Linked DNA regions of Diceros bicornis minor. The protein of the gene in region 2 interacts with the protein of the main gene of each other region in a pairwise test. Links are inferred from orthologs where the notes say so. Each region holds a gene or a part of one and is shown on either strand. Other genes may lie near its edges. The genes, in order: CEBPE and CEBPG.

What was found.
Region 1: the proteins of CEBPG (region 2) and CEBPE interact in a two-hybrid assay, tested with the Homo sapiens proteins (2 studies listed by BioGRID and IntAct, with this or other methods). The link is inferred for Diceros bicornis minor from reciprocal best matches to the Homo sapiens genes CEBPG and CEBPE.

What each region holds. Positions count from the first base shown.
Region 1 is NC_080744.1:24,654,283-24,662,483, reverse strand, and holds CEBPE (CCAAT/enhancer-binding protein epsilon), read right to left. Parts: upstream 3,440-8,201; 5' UTR 2,884-3,439; coding exon 2,374-2,883; intron 1,777-2,373; coding exon 1,441-1,776; 3' UTR 1,261-1,440; downstream 1-1,260. UniProt on the Homo sapiens protein: Transcriptional activator. C/EBP are DNA-binding proteins that recognize two different motifs: the CCAAT homology common to many promoters and the enhanced core homology common to many enhancers.
Region 2 is NC_080773.1:7,002,314-7,011,990, reverse strand, and holds the start of CEBPG (CCAAT/enhancer-binding protein gamma), read right to left. Parts: upstream 3,497-9,677; 5' UTR 3,342-3,496; intron 3,012-3,341; exon of another isoform or gene 2,595-3,011; intron 1-2,594. UniProt on the Homo sapiens protein: Transcription factor that binds to the promoter and the enhancer regions of target genes. Binds to the enhancer element PRE-I (positive regulatory element-I) of the IL-4 gene. Binds to the promoter and the enhancer of the immunoglobulin heavy chain.

The DNA.
Region 1 (8,201 bases), on a different chromosome or scaffold from region 2:
TGCCGGGTGTGAGACAGCAAAGGGCCTGAGTGAGCTTCAGGAGAATGTCTCACCGGCTCTGGCCCTCCAGGGCTTTATCTATCAAATGTGGCTCACACTATCTTGCTCGTCTGAGGGCGAGCCCACTAGATGATCTCTTGAGGTCGCTTTCAGCCCCTCTTGACATCTGTGATTTTAGGGAGCTAATTTTGGTCCTGCCTCAAACCAATCGTGTCCCTCCCCCTCTCTGAGGCCTCAGTTTCCTCACTTGCCAAATGAGAAGTTTAGATGAGATCTCTAAGGTCTTTTCAGCCCTCTAAAATTGGAATAACAACAACTATGCCTGCTTACACAGGCCGGGCCCTGTTTACCTATGAACATAACAGCACTGTGAGGCAGGTGCTCTTTCGCCTCCCATTTTGCAGATGAGGAACCTGAGGCATGGAGAGGAGTAACTGGCCCGAGGTCACACACCTAGTACATAGCAGAGGGAGAGTCAAACCGAAGCTCTCAAGCACTGAACTCTGGTGTCCCTCAGACTAGAGTTCTATGGAAAGGACAGTGCTTTGAACGTGGGGGCTCACTGGCACAGGTGGTTGTCATCCTCCTCATGATCAGTTTTCTCATTCCCCAGCCCCAGGGGATGAGGGACAAAGATGGGGGCGAGTGCGTGGGAGCCATGGGGGGATATCAGTCTGGTGGACTAAAGCTGAGGAACTGGAGAGAAGGGATCGAGTCCTGGATCAAGAGCTAAGGGACCATAAATATGGCAGAGCCATCTAGAATTTTCCCTTGGTCACCTGGGGCAGGAGCTCCCAGACTTATACCTCAAGGTAAGAGAGCAGGGCTAGGGTCAGCAGGCCTGGCATAGAGGACTGGGTGGTGCTGGGGTCTCCCTGCAAGCCACAGAGCTCCGTCAGGAGAGTATCTAGAGGCCACTCCAGGTCCTGTGGGAGGTGGGGGTGGGGGTGCCTTCAGTGTCCAGAAGGACAGACTGGGCCGGGGAAGAGGGGGACAGAAGAGCAGAGTGACAGACACCAGCCTGGCCATGTGGTGTGTTGGTGGAGAGCTGTGGGCAGCATGTCTGCTGAATATTTGGGAATATTCCTGAATACTCATTTGGGCATGGAATCAATAAGTATGCACACCTAGCCACATGCATTCACCACCCTTGGAGTCCCCCATGCCACACATGCAAACACACACACACACACACACACACACACACACGCACACACACACAGGTCCAGTGTACAGCCCCAGCACTGAGTCATGGTGTAATTTTATTCAGCCACAGAACCATCACGCTGGGGCCTGCCCTCCTCCCTTGCCACCCGCTGCCGTTTGTCCATGTCTGTGTCTCAGGCTCGGCCTGTGAGGGGCTCTAGGACCCCAGCAGGGTGGGAGTTCCCACGGTCAAACTGGGCCACGGGGCTGGTGCCCACAGTCTGCCAGCCGGGCTTAGCTGCAGCCCCCAACGCCCTTGATGAGGTTGGCGGCCTCAGGGATCTGGCGGAAGAGGTTGCGAAGGGTGTCCAGCTCCTGGGTCAGCTGCTCCACGCGGCTGCGGAGCCGCTCGTTCTCTGCCATGTACTCCAGCACCTTCTGCTGCGTCTCCAGAATGCGCCTCTTGGCCTTGTCCCGGCTCTTGCGCACAGCGATGTTGTTCCGCTCCCGCCGCAGCCGGTACTCCAGGCTGTCCTTGTTCACCGCCTTCTTGCCCTTGTGCGAGGGGCCGGCTGGGGAGGGCGCTTTGAGGAGGGGGCTGCAGGGCGGCGCAGCAGCGGCCAAAGGGGCCTGGAGAGGAAGACACAGAGGGAAGAGGTGACAGCTGGCTGGCAAGCAGAGTGGAGGCAGGGCGGGAGTCCCAGCAGCCAGAGCACTCTTGGGCATCAAAGGGATATGGGGTTCAGAGCAGGCTCCTGGCTCCCAGTCAGGACAGCCCGTGCCCTGCCAGATGCAGAGGGTCCTCTGCTCTGACTCAAACTCCTGTCATGTTCCCACACTCTCTGAGGACACTTTCTTTCAATCTATCTTGAGTCTCCAGTTCTACGATCAGCAGGCATTTCTTCTTCTAGAAGCAGGAGGCAGAGAAACAAGAGGAGTGCAGCAAGCTGGTGGGGGGCCAGAGGTCAGGGCAGGTCAGCTGGCCACAAGGGCTGCAGACATGTTGGGTTCCAGCCACATGGTGAGGTTTGGGGTGGGAGTGAATTCACAGAGAAGCAAAGAGGGGTCGTGGTTCGGTGGTGAGCACGGAGGGCTGTGGGGAGGGTAATTTCGCAGAGCAACACCAAACACAGACCCGTTAGGTAAGCAGGGAGCTCAGAGATCCCCCATCCAGAGGGGCATCTCTGCAGCCCCGGGGTGGCAGGAGGAGAATTGACCTGTTCTTACCTTGAGGACACGCAGGGGCTGGCTGGGTGCTGCCAGGGCCGGGGGCAGGTGCATGGCCGTCTGCCCACAGTGCGCCACTTGGTACTGCAGAGGATTGTAGCCGCTGCGGCTGGCCCCTCGACTGCCCTCTGGCCCCCGAGGCTCCTCCTTCACGGCCACAGCCCTGGGGTCGTAGTTCCCTGGGCTGCTGTAGATGCCAGGCCCCAGCGCCTTCCTGTCAGGGCCGAAGGTATGTGGGGGGTAGGCGAAGGGCCGCGGGTCAGGCGGCAGGTAGTGGGGGAAGGCAGGGGTTCCGGAGCCCTTAAGGCCTCGGGCCTCAGGTGCAGGCTTCACAGCGAAGAGGTCAGAGAGGAGCTGCTCCTCCCCAGACTCGATGTAGGCGGAGAGGTCGATGGAGGCCTCATGCTCACACATGTCCCCCAGCTCCCCAGGCCCCGCTCGGCCCCCTGAGAACTCGAGTGGCTGCTGGCCAGCCCGGGGCTCACACTCGTAGTAGGTCCCGTGGGACATGCCGGCCCGCCCCCTGGGCTCCCCGCCCCCGCCGCTGTGCTCTTGGGGCACGCTTTGGGATGCTCGGCTTGCCCTGTCTCGATCTCCCCCTGCCCTAGATCTGCTCTAGATCTGCCCTCTCCGATCTCCTCTGTCACCCACTCCTGTGTGGCCTCTCTCCTCCCTCCTCTGCTGTTTCCTTTTCCTTCCTCTGTAGTCAATGCTTCTTTTCTCTTCCCTTTTTTCCCCTCTCTCCCTGGGCTGACTCAGGGAGGGGCAGGGTGTACCCCGGAGGAAGGGATGCAGGCCTTAGAGCAATGGGGCCCCGGACCTATTTAGCAGTTGGGGGCACTCTGTGGTCAGGGTCCCAGCCAGGGTTCTGAGATGCCCAGGAGCTGATGCTTCTGGGAATGCCTCCCCCTCCCGTTGAGTCCAGGGGATTCCAGAGTCCTCGCTGAGGGCAACACCTCACTCTTGAGTGTCCTCCTCCCTCTGACTTCCAGAAAGTTCTATGCAGAATGAGGTGCCAAGTCAGAATGAACAGAGAACACCCTCTTCCAGTGCCGACCCCCAGCCTGATCTGAGCTCCTCCTTTGACACGCCTCCCTCTGGGTCCCCCGCAGTGCGGGGCTCCACCTACCCCCAGGGGCAGCGAGTTCCTTTTGTAGCCCCACCTCCAAGGGCATTCTCCTGGGTGCAGGCCAGGGATGTTGTTTGAGGGGTTTAGGAAGCAGTGAAGGTCTGGGACCAAGCTCTACAAGGAGGCCTGTACCATGGTGCAGAGCATGCTCATTTGCTCAGTTTTTGCACAGGGCCTGTGCAATAGCCCAAACCCTCACATGTTTCCAGCCCTGGCCAGCTCTAGCAGTCTGGCACTGTCCCTGACTGCCTGGGCCTGGCTGGGGTGCCTGGTCAGGTCTTGGGCCCTGTGCCCCAGGCCCGGGAAGCCTGCTGCCCCAGGAACCGAGAGCTGCACTCCTCTGGTGGCCCCAGTGCCTCCCTCTTCCAGCTGCCCTGCACTGCTAGAGCCTCAGGCTGGCACTCTGCCCTGCTCTGGTCCTGAGGCTCTGCCCCATTTCCTGTGCCCTGGGCCGCAGGGCTCAGGCGCTCTGCAGCTTGGTTTGCTGTCTTTCCTTCTGCACGGCCGTTCTCTGACCTCGATGCGTGTCTCTTGGTCCACTTCCCCTTGTGAGGCTTGAGAAGCCTTCTCTTTTGTCATCACCTCTTCCTGAGGCTTTGTTTCAGGGTCTCCAGGAGAAGCCCAGGGTTCACTCTGTACTTTTGCTCTCCTGCTGGGCTCCCTCCCTCCTTCCCTTTTCTTTTTCCTCTGGGAAGCCCCACTCTCTCCTGCCAGAGGCACCAGCTGTGGCTCTGATTTCACCTGTCGAATTTCATCTACAAAAGGGACTCGAGGTCCAGTGTAAAGGACAGGACACATAGAAATGTGTCGTTGGCTCTTTTATCACCAGCAAATGCTGTGAGGGCCCTGTGGAGGCCAGAATGTTTTATAAGTCGGGTACACCAAGGCCAGGCCCCAGCGGGGCAGATGCAGAGGGGATATGTGCGGCGTTGAACGCTAAAATAAAGTCTGCAAGCGTAGACAGGGCCGCCTACAAGTCAGACTAGTTAGCATCCTCCTTCCTCCCTTCCTTCCCACCCCTACACCTACCCCAAGAGCTCTCTTCGCGGGGCTTGAGCTACTTTCTCTGAAAGCCCGGACGTGGCGTGGGGACATCTGCGTGCATCCCTGAGACGGGTCTCAGGAACCAGATGGGGAGATTTCTACCTTCTCCTCATTTCGAAGGACCCTGTGGCAAACAGGTACCAGAGCTGAGCTACTTGTGTGGCGGCAGTGCCTCTTTTGACCACCAGGTGGAAATATTGGTCCAAAATTCAGGCCCTGAGGGGCTGCCATGGTCAGGAATCAGGTGGACGGCAGAGGGCAGCCTCCCACAGCCCCGACCCGGGCAAGGCAAGGCTGGGCCTCCATGGAGGAGGAAGAAGAAACATGGCCAGGATGGGGGCTTGCGGTGCAGTTACACGCAGAGTGGGCAGGTTGAGAGCACTGGGGCCAGGGCCTTGTCTCAGTGAGGAGAAATTTTATCCCCTCCCCAACTTTGAAATAGTGATGGTGGTTAAGGCCTGGCATTTTCTGGTGTTATGCTTCTCCAATCATTGAAACATACTTTTCCATGCTGACCATTTCCCTGTGCGTTAAGTTGGAAGGTAAGCAAAAGAGACAGTATTTTTACCCCTACCTTATACACGAGGAAACCAGGCTGAGCTGCCCAAGGTCATACAAGGATGCGTTGATCTTGGGGAAAAGGGCAGTGCCCTAGTTCTTGAAACCCCCAGGCAAGAGGGGCTAGGGAGAGGGGGAGCTGTGTGACTCAGAGAGCCTTCTGTGCCCTCAGTCACCCCCCCAACCCCCCCGCGGGGGACGGGGAGACTGCGTGGACAGTGATGCGGCGCTGGAGGAAGCAGGGAGGTGTGCAAATAGAGCTGGCAGGAAATGAGAAAGCTCGGCCATAGAGATAAGGGATCTCGGTCCCTCATCTCCAGGCTGGTGGCTGACGTCGCTGGCGCACTGACATCAGTGTTTCCCAGTAACCGAGGAGTGGAGAGTGTGGCTGGGCCAGCGGCGGCGCTCTGGATGTCGGGGCAGGAGAGGAGGGGGCACTGGACAGGAAGCGGGTGGGGAGGGCAGTGCCAGTCCAGGGCTGGGGGAGTGTTGGGGATTCAGGAGCAGAAAGAAGCCCTCCCTGGTCAGCAGGATCCTCTTCTCCAGGCCACTGCTGTTGCTACCTGTTTGCATGAACTGGAACAATGCCTGCGTATTATCTTAGTGACTTTGGGACAGGCCTCAGTTCAAACACCACCTCCTTCATCAAGACTTTCCAACAGGGAGGGGGTGAGCATGGTGGTGAAGTATCAGAACTGGGCTCAAATCCCGCCTCTGTCACTTACCCGCTAGGTGACCTTGGGCAAGTTACTTAATCTTACATGTAAAATGGCGGTAGTAATGCCTACTTTGTCCTGTCGTTGAATTAAACTTTGAATAAGATAATGTATGGAAAGCAATTGGTCTCAGTAAATGTTCAGTCTCCTTCCGCCCTTCCTCTAACTGCCCCTTGTGGTTTATCTGTGTCTCCTACACAGAAACACTCTCTGCAGCCTCTTCTGAGGCCTCAATTTGACAAGCGTTTTTTTTTATACATGTATTTTTGATTTTTTTGTGTGTGTGTCAGGAAGATTGGCCCTGAGCTAACATCTGTTGTGAGTCTTCCTCTTTTTTCTTTTTTGGTGAGGAAGATTGGCCCTGAGTGAACATCTGTGCCAATCTTCCTCTATTTTGTTTGTGGGTCACTGCCACAGCATGGCTTGATGAGAAGTGTTGGTCCGTGCTGGGAACCCAAACCTGTGAACCTGGGCGGCTGAAGCGGAGTGTGCCAAACTTAACCACTATGCCACCAGGCTGGCCTTGACAAGCGTTTTTGAGCACGTAGGTACCAGGCACTGGGCAGGCTCTGGAGATCAGGCAGTTCAGCCCCGCCTGCAGCAGCTCACAGCCCAGCTGGAGTGGACGGTCAGTGATGCTGTGAAGTGCACACTTATGTACCACAGGCCTTCTTGCCGTCTTTCCCCCGTAGACTACACCCTCCCTGAAGGTAGGGTCAGATACATTTTTTGGACCTCTTCAGCTATGGTCACCATGTTGCCTGAATTAAAATTAAGGACAGGTGGATTGATACAAATGAGTGTGCTTATGGAGACAATGGCACAAAATATTTGGAGTCTGTGATGATTTGGAAAATTCAGGGATAAGTTTGCTATTCTTACAGCATATAGCAAAATCCTTGGACACATGGTTATAAAAAGATGTGTTGTGTGACTTTATTAATAAGTGAATGCTTAAGCAGCTATGATTTCAGCCTCCAAAAGGCTCCCAAATTCCCTAAGTTCTGAGCATCTGAATTCCTAGCGTTAAAGTGACTGACAGGGTTAAGTCAGGGTAAAGGCCCAGGTTAAAAATAAATGCATGTTGCCCAGGAGGAAACCCATATTTGCCCATTTGACCAGGTTGAAAAGATCAGCAAGTGTCACCTTACAGAGAGAGGGAGGGGCCCCAGGGACAAGTGTCTCCAGGGAGTGAGAGGGGATTGGGGAGAGAGGGCTGGACTTGCCGGAATGAGGCCACATGGAGGAGACCTCAGGCAGCCCAGGGATAGGAAAGTGTGTGTTGGGGGAGAGGGGTCCCAAACTGTGGACGTGGGGTGGAGAAAGGCCTCCTGCACAGGACTAGCTCTGCCCAGTTCTGCCCTTGCTGTTTTGGGACAACCTTGGATTGGGGGATTGAGGAACACTTTGAGATTAGGTTCAACTCTTCTTTTTTTCTCTCTAAAAGTGCTAAATAGATGAAGTGACTTGCCCAAGGACACACAGCTGTTCAGTGGCTGACCTGGGACTCCGAGTCAAGTGTCTGTGCCCCTGTGAATGGCGAGCCTCCAGCCTTGGTCTAGAAGAACGCCCGTCACAAAGCAAGAGGGTTGGGGCCGGGCCAGGACGGGACTGGAGGCATCTTGCCTGCCTGTGTCCTCACAGTGTCCCAGTTGGTGGAGGGTGATGTCTTAACACCCCTTCTGTCACGTCTGTCAGCGGTGCTGGCTCTGGAATGATGCTGTCCCAGGACAGGCGGCCCGGAGGGCTGCCCACACAGGAGGGACTCCAAGCAAGGCCTGGGGCTAATCCCTTCAACTTCCTCCAGCGATTACCCCAAAGCACCAGGCCAGACTTGTCCCTCCCTTAACTACTTCCTCCTTTGTCCTCCTAGTCTTCCACCTAGAGATCTTCCTCCTGAAGGCTCTGTACAGCTGTGTGGACCCCCCTGCCTCCCCTCCCTGGCCCTCCCATCAAGCCCTGTCGACCCAGCTTGGCACTCTCCTAAGTCCCCTTCTGGGTCTTTCCACAGACTCAGCCCCTCCCTTCCTTTCTCATTCAGCTGTGGCTGTCCTGGTGCCAGCAGCCTTTGCTGATGGGCCTTGGGGACCACCTCTGCCTCCACCTCCCTCCACTCAGCTTGATGCTGCCTCCTGGTTGCCTAGGTCCCCACCTTGGGGAGCGACGAGTTTCTGCTTCCCAGCTAGTTTGCAGGCTCTCAGCACAGAGCGGGAACTCACTAACACTTCGTGACTTCACAGAAGAAATGAGAGCAAGTTTTTGGTTCAAAACAAAAGGGAGCTGTTTGAAGTGCTATCACTGGGTCCCTGGGACAGAGGGAGGGCCCTGAGGAATGCCATCCTGGAAGGAACCTGGCAACCAAAGACCTCCTGAGGGCGACC
Region 2 (9,677 bases):
ACCCTGTTTCCTTGCATGTGAATCATTCAAGCAGGAAGCAGTAGAAAAACTGAAGAGCAGTAGTTCTCAAAGTGTGGTCCCTGGACCAGCAGCAGCATCATTTGGGAACTTGTTTGAAGTGCAAATTCTCAGGCTGGCCCAGACCTAGGAATGAGGAGCTCTAGGAACAGGGCTAAGCAATCTTGTTTTAATGGGACCTCCAAGTGATTCTGATGACACTGAAGTTTGGGCACCACTGCTACACATTAACAATGGATCTTAAGAAAGAAGGCCTGAGTGGGTAACATTTTTTTTAATTCAAATTTCTTAATCTGAGTAATGTTCATGCAAATCAAGAACACACTGAAAACTCAGAATGTTAGAATGAGTAAAACAAAATCAAATTTTTCTCAAATTTCATTTGAGATAATAAACCTGTCAAGAATTTTCCTAACCCTCTTTACTTTTTTCACATATGTACAGATATTCTTCCCCCAGCCCCCCAAAATAAATTTTTCACTCTAATTTCCTCAGTGAAGATCTACATTCCAAAATATTCATAGATGTTTCTCCCTTGCTCCAAATCTGTTCAATCATTAGTATCTGACAATTCTACCCACCTTCCCCCCCCCCCCAAAAAAAACATCCACCATCCCTCTCCATCCCACTGCCACAGAATTACCTCAGGCTGACATCATCTCTCAGGGGCACTAGTCTCCTCTGGTTTAGCAGTGTTCCCTCCAACCACTGTCTCCAGAGCAATCTAGCACTCAAACCTGAGTGTGTCACAACCTCTTGCTGAAAAGTCTTCTGTGGCTCAGGCATAGAGGATCAAATCCAAGGTGTTAACCTCTCTCTAGCCTCTGCTCCCTTATACTTCACACCTCAATGATACTAAACCATTATCAGTCCCCTAAATGGTCTGTGCTTTCTGTTTTCTTTGTGCTTCTGTCCAATTTTCTTCTGTCCCCAGTTTCTTTGTCAATGCCAGCTCTACAGTGTATCTCCCTGTAGACTAAGCTGGAGGCAGGACTCTCGTCTTCGCCACATGCCCAGCATCTAGTGCAGAGCTAGGTGTATATAGTGGTGCTCAACAAATATTTGCTGAATACAGGCTCAAAAGCCTAAGAGAAAACATTTATTTTTATAAATGTCATATAAAAATGAGACTCTCTAGCATTGAAATCTCTTAAAACAACCGCAATTAAATCAAAAGAGTGTTACTAAGATATTATGGTCTTGCTACCTAAAGTTTTTGGTCTTTCTTAAAAGTGTACAGAAAAATAAAAATAAGTTCTATTTGCTATTAAGTCCCTAGTCTGTACAGTGAACATCATTCGTGTCTGGTCTTTGCTTCATTTCAGTTTAGAACCTTTATTTTCTACTTAGCCCAGTTATGTTCTCCAATTAATAACCTCAAGTTCTTAGGCATGTATGGCAGGATCTGCCAACTCTGTACTACAAGTGAAGTCAAGGTAAGCAAAGTCAACAGACACCCAAACGAGCAGGATTTCTATTCAGTTGCCACTGCTTGCTTCATGACCCAAAACAGGGGTCCATGAAGGAGGGTACATCCCTTCAGGGAATACATTAAGTGGTCCACTGGAGTAGGAGAAAAAAATGTACATTCAGCTTTTTTTAATGTCATCTTTCTACTTTTGGTGTGATTTATAACATACAAAAAAAATAATACACACACATTGTTTATAAATATACAGTAGGCGGTCATGGTCAATTTTCATTTTTATTTTTATTTTTTTTTACTGACAGGGCTGGAAAGCCAAAAAGGTAGAAGATCAATGTACCTACCAGTACGAGAACCCACAGAAGCACCTCCTCCCCAAAATACACAATAAACCTGGAATTGTGACTTCCTGCATTTACCATTACTGTGATCAGGTGAGGCAAGCTTAGGCCATAAGACCATATTCAGCCCCATGAGGTCCTATTTGTCTTTACCAGGGACTCATCACTTGCTGTTTAAATCTCTTGGGATGAAACCACCTGTCCATGATCAGACAACCTCGCTAACAGTCATGATGTACTCTTGAGAATTTAAAGCATAATCTGAAAAATGAAGTTTTGTTTCCACCTATGTTTTTAGGGATATTAAAAAGGACTGAATCAGCTAAGTGCAGCCACCAGAAGCAGGAATCAAGAAACTGAAAAATTCTTCAGCTCACTAGCATCCTGTAACTATTTAACCTTGTTTACCGTAAGTTTTTCCAGAAACAGAGAATCAACTTTCAGAAGAGCTTATCCCAAATACTACTCGAAGGGTAACAGCTGACCAGATTTTAACTTTTAAGTATCAAGAACTTTTAGATGCAGAATTTCTTAGTAAAGCAAGCCCTTATAGTATTTTATTGCCAAAATTTCTCTCGGAGTTACATATCCTATCTGAATTAAAAGACAATCTCTTCAAATAACGATTTGACAGAGCGTAGGACCGACTGAGTGTGGGCTCCGAGGAAGAACTACCAATTTTTGTGCAACCCACCAATGTTAAAATCTTTCTCGAAGTGACACATTTTAAGATGCCAGATTCCAGCAGAAACCTCAGGAGGCAAACCACATACTTAAACCTTCCGTAGAACAGAAACATACAAGCTTACCTGTAGGAACATTCTATCCTTCCCCCCAAACACGCATGTGCATCCTCTCCATCTAGACACCTCTGCGAGCTATTCTCCCGTGTTCCCTCCAACCGTGCTAACGAGGCGCTGCATCTCTCGCCCTCCTGTTTCCCATTCACCCGTGGGTGCTGCACGTTCATCTATCCTAAGTTCAACAGTGAATTGCAGGATATTCAAATTACAGCCCCAGAAGAAAGCATATTATTATTTCTGTAAAGTCTTGTATTTAAAAAGCAACTTCTTCCCCTCACTACTTGCTCCTTCTAGTACCTTCTGAACACAATCCCCCACCAGCCCGCATCGAGCAGCTTCGTGGGGGCAGGATCTATCCTACGTGCCACTCAAGTGGGATACGGTCCCCCTTCTGCTATTCTGGGAACACCCTTTATCCCCAGAGGCCAATACGAGCCCCGTCACAGCCGGACGGCACGCAGGGCCGACTTCCGGAGGGGCACACCTCGACTCCCTCCCGTCCGGGCCGGCAGCGAGGGGCGCCCGGGGAGCGCGGGGGTCGGCGGGCGGCGCGGCGGCGCTGGGCCGCGGCCAGGGATGAGCTCAGCGGCCCCGCCGGGTGTTGCCGGCAGGTTGCATCAGACGCCGCGCGGGGCCGGCCCCCTCGGGCCGGGCCGGGTCTCCTCGGGCCAGGCCCAAGCGCACGCAAGCGGCCGGCTCCGCCGCGGCCTCCTCCTCCCCGTCAGCTCGCCCGCCCGCCCTCGACCTCCTTACCTGCGCCTCCAGCCCGCCCGCCCCCAGGCGGCCTCCACTCCGAGCGGCCCCGCGCGCCGCGGCCCAACCCGAGCCAGGCCTAGTAGCCTGCGAGTCACCGAGGACAAGCGACGGTTACGAAACCGGCAGCCTCCGCCCGTTCCGCCGCCGCCGCCACCGGCTTCCCCTCCTCGCCGGGGCCGCGCGCGCTGCCGCCGCCGCGTCAAGGACCAATGGGAGCGCCGGCCTGCAGGCGACGCGCCCGCCCCTCGCGACAGGCAGCGCCGCCAGCCAATCGGGAGCGGTCTGGCTGCGGGAGGCGGGCACGTGGCGGAGGCGTCCACCACGGCGCAGCGGAGTGGGCGGATGTGGCGGGAGGTGACGGTCTGCCTCGGCGCCGCCCGGGGTTCCTGCGCCGTTGGAGCGGGGCTGCGGCCCGGAGCTGTGGAGACCCGCGGCGAGAAAGGGTCTGTCAACGTTGGAGGCAACACCTGTCTTTGGAAAGCACCATTTCCTGAGGTGGTGTTTTGAATCAGCGGTTTCTGTTTTGGTTTCCCCACGGCCTCGGGGAGCCCCCTCGGCGTCCTCACGGGGACAGTTTCCCGGGACGTGGGGCACCCAACGGGCCCGCGCCCTCGGAGGGAGCCTGCAGAGAAGGCCTGGACCTCACAGCCGTTAAGGCAACTGCAAACTTGTTAAAAAACGAACGAAGCAAAATCTTCCCAACGTAGTATTGATGTCACGTTGGCGGACACTGCGGACTGTGGTTCGCTGAAACGGGGAAACGAATGGAATTTCCATGATCGATTCCCCTGTGCTGTCTTCCAGATTGAGATGTGATCTCCAAAAATGAATGGCAATCCCGCTTTATTTATCCAAGATAATTCACAGGCGGATCTGAAAGCGCTTTAAAACCAGGAAGCAGTGTGCTGGGTAGAGGACAGAGCCGGCGATAGGTTTGATTGCTTCCTCTTGAGCAACTCCTGTTGTCCAAAAAATAGAGTCTTTGAAAGAGGAAACGTTTCTTCATCGCCCAGGCCATGGCACCAGCTCTCTGCATAGGACTGTTTCGAGGAATCATAAAGAGATGATAAAACATTTGCAAAAAATAAAGTAAAAATAAAAAGGGCTGCAACTAAAAGTGAACCACGATGACCATAGAAGCACACTTGCTGGAGTGACACAATATCATCAAAAGCAGCATGTTTCTTTCACTTTGGCCCTCAGTGTTCTTAGCTGAAATTTCTTTGATCAAGATTTTAGCACTATTAAAGTTGGATTATATTTTGTTGCTCACAAAATCATAATTTTACCCTCACTATTTTCTAATCTCTTAAAAATTGTATGGAAAAAAATCATATTGGTATATTCATTTATCCTCTAGTTTGCTAGCCACTCTGCCAAGCTGCTCTAGCATTTTCTGTGTCTATCTGGACAGGCCGCCTTCCACACTCAGCAAGTCTAGCCAATGCCAAGGAGACTAGAGTGTTTATTTCCTCTTCAACTGGTAGCTGGTAATTCTTTCTTCTCAGTTTACAAATATTTATTTGGTGCCAACTATGTGCTAGCTGTGGGCCAAGTGCTGGGGATTCAGCAATGAACACAACAAACACAGTCCCTGCCCACATGGAGCTTACACTTAGAGCCAAGGGAAGCAGACATTCAGTAATGACACAATTTTCTATAACCATTTTCATAGATACTACAAGAAAGACGTACACAGTGCTGTGAGAGATTATAAAACGGGATCAAAACCTGGTCTATGGGTCAGGGAAGGCCTAAAAGATGAGTGGAGTTTGGCTCCGTGGCACAGACGAAGTGGATGTGCCAGTCAGAGGGAATGTCTTATCTAAAGGTCTTGTGATGGGAGAAATGTAAGGCCAGAGTGACTGAACCACGGTGTCCCCGTTAGACTGTGAGATAGGCAGGGCCTAGAAGCGTTCTGATTTTTACCATAAGAGAGATGGAAAGCCATCTCTTAACTTGCTCTCCCCATAAAGAAGTGAGGAGAGTCTGGTGGAGGCTATCTCCAGGTTGAGGAGATCCACCATATTGCTTTCTTGTAAGTCACAGGGACCCAAGCCATCATAATAAAAGAAAAATTTCCTGCAGAGATCTCTGCCTCACTGATACCCAATACATATTCTACAAATCCAAAGAATTTGTAAACAAGTAGTACATTAAAATCCCCTCCAAATGACTTGAGAAGTAGGATGTCCTATTAACTGAACATGCTAGTGACCTGACAGCTACTATGATTAACGACCTTAGTTACCTAAGAGGTATGGACTCTAGTGTCAGGCTATTCTGTCCACAGCTTCACCTCTTACTGGTTGTGTGACCTCAAACAAATTACTTGACCTCTGAGTCAACTGTGAATGGGGATAACAACAGTATCTACCTAATAGGATTGCTGTGAGGATTAAAGGAGTTAATATGTTAGGCTCCTAGAACAATGCCTGCCTGGTCCATGGTAGGAGCAAAGTGTTAGCTGTTAATACCATGATGCTCATATGTGAATTATAAACAAATTATATCCATAGAATTGTAGTAGACTAAAATGAACTTCAAAACAGGGTGCTTAACATTGCTTTGATGATTCAGGCACTGAAATATACACAATATTGAGGGTGTTGATGCTGACCCTTTGGTGTATCCCAAAAGATGTTTTTTAGAATAGTTCTTTTAGTTGCCACATCTTATCATTTCATTTGTTTCTATAAAGTAGAATGGAGGAAAAATTTAATAATTTGAAATCTCTTGTTTGAAAGCCAGATCAATAGACAGTTACTATGCAAACAAGTATTTGTCTTAAATGTGCCTTAAGTACTTAATGATAATACTTAGGTATCTAGCATAAATGTGTATTTGGAAAGTTTCTGAAAAATTAGTATACCAAATTAACCACCTTTGACAGGAGATCTGGACCATGTCTATAATATTTTGAGAATTGAGATGATGTCTGTCACAGGTTTGAATCTCAGTAGATATTGATTGTGTTATATTAGCAATAATGTGACAGTGATTGTCAATCATTCTGCATTGCTTAGGGTTCTTTTGATTGGAAGTAACTGAAAACCATCCCTGACTAGCCTTAGCGTAAAGAAGGACATGGTCAAAGGTTATAGGACACTCTTCATGAAGTACCAGGCCACATCAGAACCAAGACCTGAAATGCTCAAATGTCTTCATGTCTGTCTCTGTCTCTCTGTCTCTGTGTGTGTATGTGTGTGTGCACATGCCTATTGGTTTCATTATTCTTTCTGCTTGCTTCTTTCTTCACATGGCCAATGACATCCTCAATGTTCACAGCTTTGGTCACTAGAGAAAGGCCAACTAAATCCCTTTCTAAGTTCTTGTTACAAAAATCCTTAGGCAAGGACTCTGGGATTGGCCCAGCTGAGCAGTGTGCTCATACCCGGAATGATCAAATAACCGGGAACAAATCACGATGTACTAACATGGCAGCTACGGAGGGGATGGCAGAGGCACTTCCCAGAGGAAAAGAGAGTGCTGAGCAGACGAATCCATTAATATCCATTTCAAATGTCAGATCACACTGGTCACTCTAATGGATCCTTAGTCACCCTGGCTGACTGATTTGTTCTTTCCCACGTGATATGATCCCTATCTTGAGGGGAAAATTTAAACCTCCAATTTTACCTTTAGAAGCACTATTTGGAATCATAACAGCTAAGATGCTAAATAGTTGTCTTAGGACATTTCCAAATTTCAAAAGCAGGTCCTATGCATGAAGAGAAAAATCTGACATAGCTTAAACTTGAACAGTTAGCAAATACTGTGAATGTCTATCATAAAGCATTTTTCCATGTGTCAGATTTTGTTAGCCTGTGAGTTAAGACATGTCATCTGTGCACTTAAGAATCGTACTTGTCATCTGTGTGCACAAGGATAGATGTGTACCATGTGATTATATGAAGACAGTGCAGATCATCCACACACATGAGGAGAGCTACATGCATCTGTGCACATGAGGCTAGGTGCCTGTCGCCTGGGCATATAATGATAGGTATTCGTCATCTGTGCACATAAGAGAGGGGGTGACATCTGTGCACATCAAGAGAGGTAATCTGGATCTTTTGTGGGCCCAAGAGGGTCTTATTATCACATATCTTCACTCCACAGAATAAGCACTAATTACCTGTTACATAGTTATTGTAATGCAAATTATTCCAGTGCCTATGAAGTACCAAACCAAAGATAAATGAGGTGGGGTTTTTTTGGTTTGTATATTTGTGATATATGTGACACCAGTCTCCATCATGGCAGTATGATGGGCTTTGGAGACAGAACAGGGTGATGTTGGCTAGCATTTAACCTAGCCAACCTAGGTTTAACCTGTTCCTCATCTGTAGAGAGGGTTGACAGTAAATACCTCATAGAATTGTTACGAGGATTAAGTAAGTTGACATGAAAAGAAGATCGCATAGTGCCTAGCACGTAGGAGGCACAAAATAGTTTGTCCATCCAAAGAGAATTTGTTACCTAGGTCCCCGTTCTTAGTTTCTAATACCATTCTTTAATAAAAGGAACTGAGCTCCTTGGAGAAATGGCTGATTCTAGGATTGAGGCAGGAAATATACAGGATAAGCCTGGAGCATCTTGCAGTACCAGAAAGTAAGGAAGTACTCAAAAAGCAAAACAATGGTGGTATGTGCCTTAGGTCAGGCTGCTATAACAAAGTATCATAGACTAGGTGGCTTAAACCACAGAAAATAGCATTCACCCTCTTTGATCTTCCTCCCAAGAACTCAAAACCCCAATCAAATGAGACAAACACCAGACAAATTCCAATAGAAGGCTGACAAGTCCAAGATCAAGAAGCAAGCAAGGTAGATTTTATTCTGAGGCCTCTTCTCTTGGTTTGTAGGCAGCCGCCATCTCCCTGTGTGCTCATGTGACCTGTTAGTGCGCATGCGGGGAGAGAGAGAGAGCAAGCTGTCTGGTGTCTCGTCTTATAAGGGCACTAATCCCATCAAAAGAGGGCCTTCAGGAACTCATCTAACCCTAATTCCCTCCCAAAGGCCCCATTTCTAAATACCATCATACTTGGGATTAGTGATTCCTTCAACATAGGAATGTAGGGGGGGCACAAACATTCAGTCCATTATAGGATGTCAAAGAGTCACAGGACCCAAATGAAAGAGCCCCCAGCACCCAAAGAGCCCCCACGCCAATTTGAGGGGCAAAATAAATAATGTAGTATTGCATCATAATCCAAAGTATAAAATAAATATCCCTGAGTCCATGTTGATATAAATAAATGATTGAGTAAATAAATAAATGTCGGAGAAGAGACAACTCTCCCATGTAGAAGAATTCCAAATAATCTATGTAGATACTCCACCCTCAGATGGAGGAGCGTAACTCTCCACTCCTTAAGTGTAGGCTGCACATGGTGACTTCCTTCTGAAGAGCAGAGCATGAAAGGGAAAAATAAAGAGGAACTGTACAGTGGAGAAACCTGATAAATGCTACTTACTACAGCCAGGTGATCAAGGTCAATTTCAATAGTCATAAACCATGTTGACATAATAAGATGAAAATGTCACTTGACCTCTTTGATCTTCCTTCCAAGAACTCAAAACCCCAGTCAAATGAGACAAACACCAGACAAATTCCACTAGAAGGGCATTCTACAAAATACCTGACCAGTATTCCTCAAAACTGTCAAGGTCATCAAAAACAAAGAAAGTCAGAGGAAATGTGACGGTCTGGAGAATCCTAAGGGATGTGATGACTACATGTAATGTGGTATCCTGGATGGGATCCTGGAACAGAGAAAGGACATTGGGTAGAAACTAAAAAAAATCAAATAAAGTATAGACTTTATTTAATTTATTTGATAATGTATAAATATTGGCTCATTAATTGTAACAAATATACTAATGTAAGATAATAATAGGGGAAATTGGGTGCAGGGTAAATGGGAAATCTCAGCACTATCTTCTCAATATTTTGCAAATCTAAAATTGTTCTAAAAATGAAGTCTATTTAGGAAAAAAAGCATTTGAGGTGCACTGCAGTGTTAACATTCACTTAAAACAGGACACTTTAAAGCATTAACAAATCAGAGTAAGCCCAGACTTGAGCCAACTCAGTAAAGAAGTTGAGCCCAGCAGAAGAGCCTTGAGCCCCACTTCTTACCTTGACCACTGGTGGTAAATGTGCTTCCGCCAGGCGGACCCAAGACGTCCAGAGAAACGGAGCCAGAGAGGGGAGCAGAACTACAGGAGCTCCCCCAGGAGGAGAGAAGAGTGGGGAAGAGGGAAGCAGCGGCGGAGGGAGACCACTTTGGGGCTGCAGGATGATCCAGAAGCCCGGAGAGCCATCTTT